2 linked regions of the Stegostoma tigrinum genome follow. The protein of the gene in region 2 binds, or shares a complex with, the protein of the main gene of each other region. Links are inferred from orthologs where the notes say so. Each region holds a gene or a part of one and is shown on either strand. Other genes may lie near its edges.

The links.
Region 1: the proteins of fmn2b (region 2) and protein spire homolog 1-like are in contact, whole or in part, in a crystal structure (PDB 2YLE), measured with the Homo sapiens proteins. The link is inferred for Stegostoma tigrinum from reciprocal best matches to the Homo sapiens genes FMN2 and SPIRE1. Residues at the interface, in NP_064450.3 of Homo sapiens: Ser1702, Leu1703, Lys1705, Ile1706, Lys1707, Pro1708, Arg1709, His1710, Gly1713, Ile1714, Lys1715, Lys1717, Ile1718, Lys1721, Thr1722; in NP_001122098.1 of Homo sapiens: Gln51, Pro52, Ile53, Asn54, Glu127, Ile131, Tyr134, Lys135, Asp138, Leu141, Lys142, Glu143, Asn144, Glu145, Glu146, Arg147, Glu148, Glu154, Ile157, Asp158, Ala161, Asn162, Thr163, Val164, Glu165.

Annotation. Positions count from the first base shown.
Region 1 is NC_081358.1:117,566,138-117,570,062, forward strand, and holds the start of protein spire homolog 1-like, read right to left. Parts: upstream 2,775-3,925; 5' UTR 2,523-2,774; coding exon 2,243-2,522; intron 1-2,242.
Region 2 is NC_081362.1:76,939,355-76,943,279, forward strand, and holds the start of fmn2b (formin-2), read right to left. Parts: upstream 2,653-3,925; 5' UTR 2,454-2,652; intron 2-2,453; exon of another isoform or gene 1-1. UniProt on the Homo sapiens protein: Actin-binding protein that is involved in actin cytoskeleton assembly and reorganization. Acts as an actin nucleation factor and promotes assembly of actin filaments together with SPIRE1 and SPIRE2.

The sequences.
Region 1 (3,925 bases), on a different chromosome or scaffold from region 2:
TTCATTAGTAGGATGAGGGCATTGCTGACTAGGCAGTATTTAATGCCCATCCCTAATTGCCTAGATGGCATGAGGGCATTGCTGACTAGGCAGTATTTATTGTCCATCCCTAATTGCCTAGATGGCAGTTCAGAGTTAACCACATTGCTATGGGCATGGAGGCCAGACAAGGTAAGGATGGCAATTTCCTTCCCTAAAGGTCATTAACGAGCCAGATGAGTTTGTTCCAACAACCAAAAATGGATTGATGCTCATTAGATTCTTAATTCCAGATATTTTATTGAATTCAAATTCCACCATCTGCCGTGGCGGGATTCAAACCCGGGTCCCCAGGATATTATCTGGGTCTCTGGATTAACAGTCCAGTGATAATACAACTAGGTCATTGCCTCCCCTATTGACTCTTAACTACCTTTGAAATGCCCTATGAAGTTACATTGGTGCTTCATAATCACCATCTCTGGGATTACGGATGATACATACTCTCCAGTAAGCTCTCTAAAGAGGCTCACACCAATAAACAAAAATCCAGAACAAGGAGCATGCTCTTGAAGTTAGATCATACAGGACTGAAACCAGGAAACACGTTCCCCACATAAGTTATTGAGTATCACTGATCCACTCCCTCAAAAGACTGTCAAAAGCTGGGTCAGTTGAAATTTTCCTGACTGGAGATCTCAAGAGATTATGAAGCGAGGGCAATTAAAAAGACTTCAGGTATATGAGGTAAATTAATAGAATCAAAGTGTTGTGCCTATATTCAACTCCTCTTTAGCATCCCTTCATCCTCCAACCCAACACTGTTTTCAGGCTTATTAGGCCTAGTATGTTCTCCGCCAATCTTTCTATCTCTCAAAAACCTGAGTTTAGTTGTGCTCAACGATTCCCTCAACCATCTTCAGGCTGCTCCTGGGCCAGTTATTACTTCTTGTTTTACAACAATTGTGTTAAATATGCCGTAAAAGATGCAGGTCATAGCCAGTAAGTTCCTACAGTGAGCTGCCTTATGGAGCGTAGCTAATCATTATGATCAGAGCTAGTCATTAACTGGGTGAGGCAAATTCAGTTTATATTCCAGGGAATTCATGTGCTTATCCTGAAATGCAGTGCAGTCATGCCATGCAAATGCATGGCTGTGTCCAGGCCTGTTCTTACTTTCAATTCAGATGGCTGCATTATCTGTTTTTCCTCAAACTCTTCTGTGTATTTTCAATCCACAACTTTATTTTTGACATATCAGTGTTTATATTTGTTTGTTATTACTTTGGGGAGGTAGTGGCATATTGGCAATATCACTGGACAGAGCTCCTAGCTAATGTTCTGGCCACACACGTTCAAATTCCACCGCAGTAAAGGATGAACTCTGAATTCACTAAAAAATCAGGAATAAAAAGTTTGCCAATATGTCGATTGTCAGGGGAAATCCACAAATGTCCTTTAGAGGATGAAATCTTCCACCCTTATCCGGTCTGACCTACATATGAATCCAAACCCACGGCAATGTGGTTGGCTCTTTGCCCTCTGGACAAATAGGGGGACGAGTAATAAATTCCAAGCGGCATTCATTTCACATGGATGAATTATTTTTAAAAAATCATTTGTCAGCAACAGTTTATTTCTAATGATAGGTATTTTCCTGTTTTTTTTCACCCAGGCATCGCCCTGCCTTTTTACTGGTCCATGAAGGTCTCCGATTGTGAATTTTGATTGGACCTTCTCGGCTGCAGCTTGTTTACCCGCGGCTCCGCTGACCTTGTTGGCTCAGTCAGTCAGAGACTCTCACTGTCAACAATGCAGCAAAGCCCCTGCTGGTGCTCACTGACGCCGTGCCTGTTTCGCCAGACTTTCGTGGCTTCTCTCTCTCTCTCTTGAAGAGAGAGAATGTGGATATCGTTGGCTCTAATATCATCCTTCCCCACCCGCCTAAGGAGCTGTGTTCTCATCAAAGGGCCCAGTACTGACTCCTCCTTCCCAACCTCTCGCCTTTTTGGAGAACAGACCACTCTAGCTCCTTCACCACCGACTTGAAAATTTACTGAATAAAGTCCGCTTTATTTTTCAGCTTCCTTCTCCGCCAGCTGTCGATTTCCACCCCTCATCCTTTCCTATTTATCTATTTATTTATTTGCTGGAGATTCAGGGGGACTGACAGCCCTCCCCAACCCCCACCCCACTCCTGTCAAGACGTTTCACTTCCATACTCAGCTCCTGCTCTCGTTGTTCTTTCCGGGGCGTCTCGTACCTGCTTCCTCGCTCCTGATGCTGATGTTGCCGTCTCGCAGCAGAATGACAGTCCTGGCTCCGCTCAGCCTGCCCGGGAATAGCTGCGTGTCTCCGGGCCGCCGCTGGCGCTGCAGGCTGCTGCAACATTGGTAGCACACGGCCCAAGCCTGCTCCTCATTCAGCGGCTGGTTGTACAGTTTAAGGATTTGCTCCAGGGACAGCTCCTGGGATTCCGGGTCCTGAGAGTCCGCCTGGGCACCGCATTCCGGGGCCGGGCTCCCGGAGCATCGCTCTGCCATGGTCCGCACACACACAGGCTCTGGGTGTCTGTGTTTGTATGTGTATCCGAACACAACAGCAGCGAAACCTTCTCTACACCATCGGCAGTGGGAATAAAACCGGCACCGTCTTCTCCAACCTCTGCATCATTGTCATTATCGCGGTGACAGGGAATGTTCTACAGCAGCACAGCCACAATGCCAGCTCCTCATGCATAAACCAACCTCTTCCAGCGGCTTCTGATTAAATCCAATCATATGACTCTGTCTCTGCCTGGGAGCCAGAGAGCGCTCCTGCTATGTGGTCCAAAAGCCCGCCTCCTTAGCTTGCATTTTCCATGTTTATGTTAGTTTCGATTTATTAATTCGCAGGAATGTGGGCGTCTCTGCCTGGGTCAGCATTCATCGCCCATCCCTACCTCCCATTAAGAAAGTGGCGGTGAGCTTCCTTCTTAAATCACTGCAGCCCTTTTTGTTTTGGCGTGGGTATACCCACAGTGCTGTCAGGCAGTTCTAGGATTTTGACCCAGCTACGCTTAACGGTGCTATGTTTCCAAGTGAGGATGGTGAATGGTTTGGAGGGGGTACCTGCAGGTGGAGGTGTTCCCGCCCATCTGTTCCCCTTGTCCTTGGAAGTGGTAGAGCCAACAGGTTTGTGAAGTGCCATTGAAGGAGGCTTTGTGAGTCGTTGCGGTATGTCCTGTAGATGGTACGCACTGTTGCTACTGTGTGTCGGATGTGGAGGGAGTGGAAGTGGTGCCAAGCAAGCAGGTTGCTTTGTCCTGGATGGTGTCGAGCTTTTTGAGTGTTTTTGGGGCTGCACCCATCCAGACAAGTGGGGCTTATTTCCATCCCACTCCTTACTTGTGCCTTGTAGATGATATACAGGCTTTGGGGAGTCAGGAGATGAGTTACTCACTGCAGGGTTCCTAGATTCTGACCTATGCTTGGAGCTGGTTTAAATCAGTTTTTAGTCAGCGGTAAAACCCCAGTATGATGATGGTGTGGAATGTTAAATGCAAGTGATTAGACTATTATTGGAGAACTACATTCCTTGTAACTATTTGATACACTGCACACTTGCTGCATTGTAACAGCAAGTAGGGAGTCAATATAAAAGAAAAAGAGAAATGGGTGACGGATGAAGTAAAACGAATTATTCTGCCCTCCTGCCAGCTGTTACTGAAGTTATTGTTTGAAATTCAGATAAGAACTGCAAATGCTCAAAATAGTTGGCAGGACCATCAGGAAGTGTATTGTTTTGGGTGACGATGCTGTGCTAAGTGAATGTGTGAGACACAGCTTTCAAAATGCTGGACAAAGAGTCCTTACTTCGAACAAAGTGAGAGGTTCCTTAATATCTGATATTGTGCAAATTGTCAGTCCCATTTTATTGGAACAGGAAATTCAGATAGATGAAAATG
Region 2 (3,925 bases):
GCTTAATGTGAATGTGCTCTGAACTAAACAAAGAAGAATTTAAGTAGTTTTTTTTCCATTAAAGAGAAACATACTGGGATGAGAACACAACTGAGCAATGACATTTCACCAGAGTGAACTAATTAGAAGAAGGAACAGCTGAGTGAGCTTAGTTAAAGTGCTTCCTTTGTCAGAGGCAGGGCTGTGTTGAATAAAGCTTTTAAGAGAAGGAGCATTACAGGAAAAAGACTCCAAGAAATGCTAAAATGAAGGATCGGTTTTGCATGTAACACTTTTAACAGTGGGTCTGCTTGCAAGTTTCTAGCAGTTTAATGTTGATTTACAACAAAATGCAAGCTAATCAGCAATGTCCTATGTTTTTTCCAACTGCTTGTTTCAATCTCTACCTTTAAGATGCCTACAGCCACATCAGAGATAATTGTGTTGGAGTTAACAGTAATTCTTTCAATAGTATTAATATTGCCATTACATCTACATCTGAAAAATTAGCTTTTAATCAATAGATTTTCCAAGTTGTTTCCATTTTAACTTGATCCAAGAAAACCTAATTTCATCCATATTGATTCTTAAAGAGTAATCTCCAGTTTTTGAATAAAATCGATCCCATTCATAGCACGCTATAAAAATATGTGCTTGCCATTAAAGAACCCACAAGTTCTATTCACTTAGCTGATTTGCCTTTTTGCTTTAACTTTCCTTTATAAGTTCATGTCCATCTCAACACTGCATTCATTATGGCAGCCATACACGCATCTGTCAGAAAGATGAATGATTTTCTGTCAATTTTAGTAAAAAGATCTGGTGGGGCAAGTTAGAAAACACAAACAAAGGGATTAAAAATTAGAATTCACGTGGTGAAAATGATACTCCATCTATTTTCTGTGTAGCAGGTATCAGTTCAGATGAAAGTCATCAACAGTGAGGGAAAAGAATCATGTTTTGCCATCTGAAGCCAGAAATTAGATTCCACCTGCTGAGTCACTCTTTTTCAGTAGCTATTAATATATTCTTCCCTTTGTCACTGCAGGATTTACCATTTCAGCTGAAAAATAACATGCAGTTTATTATGACTTTTATGTTGTTGTTTGTGAACTATGCTCATGTTCTAAATTCAGCTTCAGAAAATATTTTAATAAGCTGAACATATGTTTGAAATGAGGTTCCTAAAAAAAAACTCACATTGGTAGTCCAGGAACTAAACATTGCTAAACAAAGACAAGAAATCAATTCTTTTCATTTTTGTGCTCATCAGGGCATCATCGAAGAAGGATCACTGGACCAGAAACGTAAACTCTGCTTTGTCTCCACAGATGCTGCCAGACCTCCTGAGATTTTCCAGCAATTTCTGATTTTGTAGGGCATCATTAATTCTTAGACCAGGCAGGGAGACTCTGATTTTTCAAGATTCTCAACCATCCTGTACTTACAAGCCTTAAAATGTTATATCCACTCTTGATATGCGTCTGCTGTGGATGTCATTTAATAAATGATGGGACTGTGCTAAGAATTACACAGGGAACCGATTCAAGATTATCATGAAGTTTCATCAGCTTGAAGTGACGCACACTGTTATGCAGGACCTTGTTTTATGGAAATGGAATTCATCCATCCATTGCAGTTTTCTTGTTGAACAGGAAAGGATCATGGAGACTCCCAGTCTCTACTATATTTCCATGGCAACACCCTAAACAATCAGGGTCTACCACCTGGTCCAAGAACAAAGATTGACAGTCAACTGTTCCTGCTGCTTCTCCAGGTTCATGATGGCACAGCCAATCCGCATTCTCTTCACATTATATAAATTAGTGTCCCTTTTTCTAAGTCCGTTTCTTGAATTGAGTCCTGATTAGTGCAAGGTAGAAAGCTTTAACTTCTTGTTTCCTTTTAGCAAATAATCTTTGTGAAATTTTCTTGACCAGGAGGATTTGGGCATTTGATGCTCCAGATCCATTTGTGTACACTTCAGCATCTTAGCTCAATGCTATTGTTACCTAAAGTACCTGGGTACGTACATTCCAACAGGGATCCCTGATCAGTGATCAGCACTGAAATGGAAACTGTGAGTGAATCCTCTCAGTCATCTCACAGCCTTGATTTGGAATGGCTATCTCAATGCAGATCACGCAAAGATCGAACTCTCCTTCTTTAAATGGCCAAATAAGATACAGGTACATACATATTGCTGAACTACTGAGGGGCATCAGATTCTGTATTTGTTTTCTAAGACTAAAATCACATTCGTAAACAGCAATTGACTAGCATATTATATATGCTATTCAAATAATCTCTGATAGGCCACTGGCACCACTATTTTGAAGACACTGAGTAAATAACAGGTGTGAATTTCTGCACCATCACTGAGGTGTCAACCTGTACAGTAATATCTTTATCTGTACATTTGCAGCTTTAAGATTTGATTCATAACATCATTTGTTATAAATATACCTATTTACCTATTGCTTGTATTTCCTCCTCAAATGCTTTATTTGATGAGCAGCAGTGATTTGCTCTCAGACGCTCTGCCAAAGATCTTGGAATCAGATGTCCACCGGTTAGAACCACCTCAATTACACAGTCTTTGCGCTTGGATTTTTTTTCCCTCTTTACAGTTCTTCAATGGCTTGTGGAAGATGCAAAATCCAACGTGAGAAGAGTAAGAGCAGCAAGCGAGTCCTCTACCTCTTTGTTGCATAGATCTTCTGTGCACTATTTTTAATGGGCGTGGGTGTAGTGGTGCTGTATTCGCTTGGGAACAGAAATGCAATTGGATATGAGGCATCTAAATATCCAAGGGTACAGAAAATGCTGTATATTACATGACTTTTACTCTAGGTGATGCTATAACATTGTTTTTGCAGGGTATTGCAACTTTCTTATTATTTCAATGTTACATTCCATGGAAGTTAAAATCTATATATATATACACACACACACAAGAAATATTCAAAGCAGTGGGTGTATGCTAATTTCGTAGCGTAATAATCAAAGGGAATTGTTATCTTTCACCCATTTTATCTGCAGGCAAAAACAGCGCACAGCACACAATACAGGAGCAAGGTTGAGAAGGATGCCCGTTCAGACACAACTGGAAAATTGCTGGAAAGCCCCTGTGGGGAACTGAACCATGGAAACAAACATGGGAAAAGGCCATGTTTGATGCCTATGTGAAGGATGGTTTGGAATCTGCTGATCACAACAATACTGTGGAAGGAACAGTAAAAGCCAGAACGGTTGAAGATGCATCTGAAGAGTGCCATACAGGAAAATGAGCTCATGAAAAGTCAGATTATTTGGGATATGATGGCACTGGACAATGGGCAAGAGATTGAGGCTTGCATTTACCCGCCGATCGGGTAATGGATGCTCATTTGTTCAGCAGCAGGAGTTGAGAGAGAGTGTGAGGGGATTGCTGGGAAGGTAAAATCGTTCTGGCAGTGGCAAAACCCGAAACACTACACTTATAGTGTCTCCCACCCACCCTCCTCCACTAACCAAAAAAGCAAGACTCTGTGTGGAGGGTCAATAAGGGGCAGCACGGTGGCACAGAGGTTAACACTGCATCCTCACAGTACCAGGGACCTGGGTTCAATTCCAGCCTCCGGCAACTGTCTGTGTGGAATTTGCACATTCTCCCCATGTCTGTGTGGGTTTCTTCGGGGTGCTCCAGTTTCTTCCCACAGCCCAAAGATGTGCAGGTTAGGTGAATTGGCCATGCTAAATTGCCTGTAGTTTTCAATGATGTGTAGATTAGGTGGGTTATAGTGGGATGAGTCTGGGTGGGGTGCTCTGAGGGTTGGATTGGACTTGTTGGGCCAAAGGGCCTGTTTCCACACTGCAGGGCTTCTATTCTATGATCTATGATCCCATTAGCAAGTGTGAGATTTGTCGGAGGGTAGACCACGTATCACTGTCAAAAAAGCCAATG